Linked DNA regions of Kluyveromyces lactis. The protein of the gene in region 2 interacts with the protein of the main gene of each other region in a pairwise test. Links are inferred from orthologs where the notes say so. Each region holds a gene or a part of one and is shown on either strand. Other genes may lie near its edges.

Region 1 (2,986 bases), on a different chromosome or scaffold from region 2:
AGAACATGCTAGGGATCATGAGGTGGAAGATATTAAGCAAGAGGAGACCGCTTCTGCGGATGACAAGGCAAAACTGAAGGGTGCGGAATCACAGGATACGCAAGTAGAACAAGAGTCAGAAGAGCCACGGGAACGAGAAAAGGATATCGATGAAAAGGATACTGAGCAAAATAATGTACAGGCGAAACAAGAAATGGCGACCACTCCGCCAGTCAGTGTTGGAGAATCTGTGAGCGAACTGGCGAATGAACCTGTCGATGAACCTGTCGATGCTCATAAGAAACCAAGGACAAGACGCTCTACAAGGTTGACACGTTCACAAAAGCGAGGCATTGATGACGAAAGTGAAAACAAAGAAGACCAACCCCATGGCGGAAACACCGATGAAAAGGAAGATGTCGAACACGATACAGAAGGGAGATCTGGTAGCGAAAAAGAATCGACTGCTGATGCCGCAGATACTACAGCTACAAAACAAGTCACATTTGCTGATGAATCTGAAGGTGCTGCCAAGGAATCAGCTAATTCGCCGACAGGGAAAGCAGAAGAGAACGAAACGGAATCATCTCAACAGCCGCGCCCTAAGAAACAAAAAGTTGCCGCTGCGGAGGAAGTTCCTGAAGATCTTGCCGACGTGGATTCTCCAGCTAGGAGAACAAGAAGAAAATCCATAACAAAACCAACTACAAGGCTCTCGAGCAGGCTTAGAAGCAGGAAGTAGTTGTTCTTGATTGTTTTTTCAATAATGCAATAACAACATAATATAGCTAATGGTTTATATTATAGGCATTTCGTTGATGTACAAAAATTGAATGTTAAAATGGAAGCATACAAACACTACGGCTACAATTTGATAGCAATTCCCATGTTGAAAGGTTGATGAGAAGGTACGGAAAGATGTAAAGCTATAATAATAATAATGGATGGGACCAATTGGAAGGAATCAAGGGAGAAACCAAAGAAAAAATGTGAAGGAAATTAATAGTATGTGTTTTATTCAGAAGAATGACATTATACATCTAGTTAATCTTCAACAATTCAACATCAAAGACTAAAGTAGCATTTGGTGGGATCAAACCTGGGAAACCACGTGGACCATAAGCGTATGGGCCTGGGATAGTTAGTCTTGCCTTTTCACCAACGGACAACTTTGGAATAGCAGCATCCCAACCCTTGATAACTTGACCTACACCAATGTTACATTGGAATGGAGAACCTCTATCAACGGAAGAATCAAACTTTTGACCGTTTTCCAAAGTACCAGTGTAATGGATTGTTACCAAATCGCCTGGTTTTGGGAAGTTGGTACTGTCACCTGGTGATAATCTTAGAATTTGAACGTTACCTTCAATTGTTTCGGACATTGTTTCTGCTGTTTGATGTGTGATAGCTGAGTTATTTTAAAACTGCAATACAATAACGGATTAAACTGACACAAAATAGCACTCAATTGGCCTCGTAATTGCAACAGTTTCGTGTAGAATGTAGGAATCCTTATTATAGAAATGAAAACTTTTTGTTTTCTGAACGATAATGATTTCTAGAAGCAGTGGTAACGTATTTAATGACTTCAAGACTTTCAGCATTTGTCACGTGACTGCATTCTTTCTTTCTTACTTAAGCAATCACTTTTCGCGGAAACATGCCTGTAAGAGGTTTGAGCAGACGCAACGGCAGCACAGCCAACATTCAGGTCAGTTCAAATAAAGATCATCGAACCTTTTAGCATAGGGTTTTTAAATCACCTGAAATTGTACATTCCTGAACAACAACCGACGTCACTAAGCCGTACTACATCGAATATCCTACGAAATATCTCATTTGCTATTATGCTCTGTCCGCATCTGTATGTCCAGAAGTGTTTGAGATTTATAATTGCTTGATAATTAAAAGGTGAATAACTATAGCAAGAGCCAGGTTTTCAAAACTTTGAGGTATGGTGCTTTGTAATTCAGCCCTCATTTGCTTTATTTAGAATTAACGCCTCGATACCTGTTAAGGGAAAGTGAGCAAATTCTTGGTTACTGGGTCTAGAAGAGAACATTTCTGGAAAAGCAGGTTGATCCTAATTGTGCTGGTCAACTTGTAGTCGAGTAGATGTGAATTCACAGTAGCACATCGACTCTTATTCATAAACGGAATTGGTGATACTTAGAGCGGCTTATTAGCTAACATGTTATGAAGTTTCATTTAGTATTGCAAAATATTCCGTTGACTGAGCCGCAGAAAAGAAACTGCCCAGCGAATATGTTACGTCGTACAAAAATGTACATAGTCTTGCAATTCAGTTCCGTAACCATGGGCTATCGAATGAAAGGTGGACTAAAGAGTTCTCCGATTTCGTCTTCACAGTTTCTCAATGACGGATCAAATGGTTCTTCCGCATTTTTTGCCTATTCTGTTAATACCACTGAAAGCAAGTTTCGACTCGTGCACTGTTTCATACTGTTTCTAGGCCCACAGGCTGAAATAAAGTTATTCGCGTTGATCGTTTCTTCTTTGTACATTCAAACTTCTTTTCTTTTGTTACCACTTTCAGCCAACTAACCTGCTCCTAGTGATGATGTATTGGAATTTCACATAAGACACTGTAGTCATTTCACAAGATACCCACAGTTTTCTGGTGCAAGGTTTAATACCGAGCACACTATTGTAAGTCCATATCCGTCTTGATCTCGCTATTTTCGGAATATTCTCTCAACTCGAATCCCATTCCTTGCTGAATGGTTGTCTGAGGTAAGTCAAGTAACATGCAGTTTTAGGAAAAAAGTCTCGAAGTCTTAATTGATCAGTTAATCAAGCTTAACTCTGCTCTGATTCAAATTCACTGCCCTCTCCACACATTTAATCCACGATATCCTCTCGCTGAACACACACATTTTGAGCCACTCGCATTTGAATTTGGTACCGAGAGACTAGACCAAATTAATCTGCCGTCATAATAGAATTAAACAAATTATGTGCCGTGAAACCATGATATTTGTAG
Region 2 (4,443 bases):
TGGACTGGTGGTGTTGGGTATATCACCGTTGATACTATGAAAGAACGTCTTCCAGCTCCAGCTGAAGGCGTCCAACTTTTGGTGTGCGGTCCGCCTCCTATGGTTTCATCTATTAAGAGAAATGCTGTCACTTTAGGTTACGAGAAAGCTAAACCTATTTCTAAGATGGGAGACCAAATCTTTGTATTTTAAGACAATCAGAATACATATCGCTGGTTCAGTATTATGATGTAAGTAAAATCTTTATCCAACCTGTAAATTCATTATAAAAGACGGGAGAATGTCGGTAATTTTTTTTTTCTATATTGTATCATTACTTAAAAGACTCTAGCTCCGGCACCTATATCATCCAAACGTACTGTTAAGAGCCTATTAAACTATGTTAAAGAACATCTTTGTGCAAAAATGCCTATCACAAGAACATCATAAACTACTTCTTTCTATGGAAAATAGTTTCCTTTCTTTATTTTTTTCGGTCTATTGATTGATCTAATCAACATCTATAAAGACATTTGCTTGATTTGTTCCAACCTTTCATTCACTGCTGATTCAAAATTTTCATTCTGCGGAGAATCTAATAATTTTGCATGAATAGACTGAAGAGCTCTCACTGCATTGCTCTCATCAATGACACAAGAGATATTAATTTCATTAGCACCTTGAGAAATCATTTCAATATTAATATGTTGTTCAGCTAAGGTTGTAAACATAGTACCAGCAATACCAACAAATTGCTTCATCTGCTTACCGACCAGAGAGACAATTGCCATTTTCTTAATAACATCGACTGTACCTAGTCTCTTTAACTCTTCAACAGCACACCGTAAAGCCTTTAGGGAATCTGAATCAGGTACAGGAAGGGCCATAGAGACGTGGACCTCAGAAGTAGAAATCAAGTCCACAACTAGTTTATATTTATCCAACGTAGAGAACATTTCTGCCAAGAACCCATGAGATAACGTCTTCTTATTAGAATGTATATTAACCACAACAATATCAGATTTAGTAGTGATGGCCGTAGCGCCTTTCTTTTTGGATTCGAAGATAGAGGATGTTAACGCTACAGGTGGATGTGGAGGTGTGGATTCACCCTTCTTGGCTTGATCGCTTGGGTAAATAATAGTACCGTTACCCTTAGGGTTTTGGACGTTTTTAATTCTAATCGGTATGTGAGTTCTGATAACCTGTTCCATGGTGAATGGATGAATGACTTCTGAACCGTAGTAAGTTAACTCAGCAGCTTCGTCGGGTGTAACTGTGTCTAACAGTCTTGCTTGGGGTACTTTTCTTGGATCGGCGGTGAAGATACCATCAACTTCTTTCCATACTTGTAATTCGTCAGCATTTAGTGCGACGGCGATCAAGGCGGCGCATAGATCAGTATATCCTCTACCAACACCATTAAGTAGACCCATTGGAACGACTCCAAAGAACCCAGTAATGACAGGAATGATCTTGGTGCCATTCTCGGTTTCTTTTAAGATCGGCGATAGCTTCTCTCTAAAAGCGGTGACGAGGAAGGTGTAGAAACTATTATCCAGAGTACCTTCCTTACATTCGTAATCACTTGGAACAATAAAAGAGAGATCCACATATCTCGCATTGACACCATTATCCTGACAAAGAGCAGTCACATACAAACAGGATAGTTTCTCACCCAATGACATAACTAAATCCAAAGTTCTTGTAGACACCTCACCCAAGACTTGAGAGGCATCCAGATATCTCCTGACAATATTTATTTCTCTCTTGGTATCCTCAATTAAAGTCTCTTGGATGGTAATATCCTTGACAGACTCTTCTGCATTTGCGACATGATCTCTCTCGACTAAATCAAGAACGTTCTTATATTCATAGTTGTTGTTTGACGCTAGATCACATGCCAATAATAATCTGGAAGTAGTACCTTCAGCTTTAGTGTACGAAGACCTAGCAGAACACACGACAGCCACGTTATTGTCGTATTCCTGAGAGTACACTTTGATGATTTCATTTACAATCTGCTTGGAAAATTTACCAATACTGGTACCACCAAATTTCTGTACAACCCAGTTACTAGTTTCAATCATCACGTAATCGATACTTTAAGTTATTTTATAGAAAAGGCCTGTTACTACTTCCAAAGGGTATAGCAGTCTTGTAAACACACAGCTGAGGACAATGTGCTAATGGGTTTTTGTCGGAGCTTCCTTTATTTATATGAATTTCATTCAAACCAAATGACTCAATTACTTTTTGTCAAAATCTTTCTAGTTTTTCACAATATATTTTCTAGAACTGTGAGGTTCGATGGAAAATTGATGGGATAATTATGCCATTTTCACGTGATTTACGAAAATGGGAACTATATGGTAGACAGGTATATGCCCTTTAAGCGGGGTGATTCAAGAGCATGCAATGGAAATTGTTCGCTGATGCTGCATGATAAACAAAATTTATTAGATGGAGCAAGTGTGGGCTACACTAGCATTGAAAAAGAATAAACAAAATAATGAAATGGAGTTATGATAATGGTTATGAATAAATAGTAATGGAACAGTAAAGAACAACATAAAATTGTGAGTTAATTCTCCTGATTTTTATTTGTAATTTCAATATGTTATACCTATAACTTAAGCGGATGTACGTATTGTAATAGCTGTGTTATAGTTTGATTCGCGTTTTATCGCTTTTCAGCTTGGCTAACTTTAAGAAGTTTTGAATTGAAGTGACAAAGGTAGTGGAAAATATAATGCAATGATGGAATGAAGTAGGAACAGAATCGAAACGTCCAATAGCTCCTAACATTAGAAAGGTCACTGATAATGATTCGATGAAACAAAATGAGAGGAAATGAGAAAGCTATGGTATAGTAACGTTGTAGTTTGTGGGTACTCGAATATTATTAAATGGATTGGCACTGTTTGCCAGAATTGATCCATTATAAGATATGCGGCTTCCCATATAGAAGCTTAATCAAAAAAAGTTTAATAATTGAAGTGAATTTCGCGAATAACTGGCTGAATGTTTTATCTTTGCGGTTGGCTCCGCATTTTCAAGAGTTCGTAGACTTTGGTTTTAGTTGCGTCAATCCATCCAAGCGGGAACTCCATAATCATTATTATCAATGATATTATGATCATGACCCCAGTGAATAAATCCTAATGTAAGCACACAGAAGAAAATTATTGTACTGAACAACCATATCCTAGTGTCTCTTTCCAGCAAAAAGAATTTTCTTATTGCTTGATAAATGCTAGTGATCCAAAGTAAACTTGACGGCAGGAAGCTTGCACTCAAGAAATACGGAAGTGAAGAATCATCTTCGTTGTCGCTGTTGTGATTTGATTTGGAATTAGGTAAATATAATGTTCCCTTTAAAGCACCAGGGTCTAAGTCATATGCTAGGGATTCCATAGAATGACCAATGTCATCGAATTGCAGAGTTGAGTCTTTACCTGCGTATTTCAAAAGAACTTGAGCACCTCCTGGATGCTTGTGAAGGAAACTGGTTATATCGTACACTTTGCCATGAATCACGGTCCAACAGTCGGACCGCGAACTATGTCGTGCTACTTCATCCATAGTTATTAGCGGGTCTCTCATTTTAAATAAATGAAATGCTATGAATGCTGTACCAAAAAAAGAATAAAATTCTCAGAAAATCTAAGCAGAAACACAAAAATAATCACCAATCAATTGAACTTCCACGAATATATAGTGACGGACTGTTGATCGATTAGTCGAAAGCAACAAAACGGAAACAAAACAATTGTTATAATATTGAACCCAAAAAAAAAAAAAAAATTGAATGGGTCAATCTAGTTGATAGTACTGTTCCTCGTGGAAGCGATATAGCAGAGCTAGCAATAATAAACTTGAAAACAACAGTAAAAGCAATCAATGTCTCATCCAATGGGCCCCCTGGTAATAATATCAGTAATTACAGTGATTCCTTTATATTCTCTAGTTGGAGATACAGCTGGTGATATACGTAACAATTGGACGGTAACAAATGGAAAAGAAAAAGATCTGTGATGAGTGGAGGAATGCCTGTTGCCTGTATAATAGTACTCGAACAGATGTAAAATAAATAACAGACACAAACACAGTATGCACTCACGGCAAAATGTGCTCTGCATATAAGTTATCAATCCAGTCTTGGAACTCACCAGTCTTCCTCCTTCAACTACATTATAAAAGGTAGACATAAGTTGCGAAATTAAATACTTTTCTTAAATAAAAAAGAATCTTATGTATGTTGAGAGGAAAAAAAGGATCGATGCAAATCGATAAAAAAAACATATGTCTGTTCCATGGACTATAAAGAAGGTGTAATCGCACAATAAAATCAAAGAATGCGTTTTTTCTTTTCGTTTCTTTTGTGTGTTGCAACAAAACTAAAAAGCGTTTTTTTGCAATTAGATGAGTAGATTGCCGAATTTAACATGCGAAATTTTGTTA

Evidence for each region.
Region 1: the proteins of HOM3 (region 2) and FPR1 interact in binary tests that used the Saccharomyces cerevisiae proteins (3 or more experiments, as listed by UniProt). The link is inferred for Kluyveromyces lactis from reciprocal best matches to the Saccharomyces cerevisiae genes HOM3 and FPR1.

The regions. Positions count from the first base shown.
Region 1 is NC_006037.1:1,009,448-1,012,433, forward strand, and holds FPR1 (peptidylprolyl isomerase FPR1), read right to left. Parts: upstream 1,365-2,986; coding exon 1,020-1,364; downstream 1-1,019. Other genes in the region: EAF7 (Eaf7p), read left to right, coding at 1-721. UniProt on the Saccharomyces cerevisiae protein: PPIases accelerate the folding of proteins. It catalyzes the cis-trans isomerization of proline imidic peptide bonds in oligopeptides.
Region 2 is NC_006042.1:2,555,804-2,560,246, reverse strand, and holds HOM3 (aspartate kinase), read right to left. Parts: upstream 2,070-4,443; coding exon 501-2,069; downstream 1-500. Other genes in the region: CBR1 (cytochrome-b5 reductase), read left to right, coding at 1-192; KLLA0_F27577g (cytochrome b5-like heme/steroid binding domain-containing protein), read right to left, coding at 3,067-3,585. UniProt on the Saccharomyces cerevisiae protein: Phosphorylates aspartate, the first step in the biosynthesis of amino acids that derive from aspartate (the aspartate family of amino acids), including methioinine and threonine, the latter of which is a precursor to isoleucine.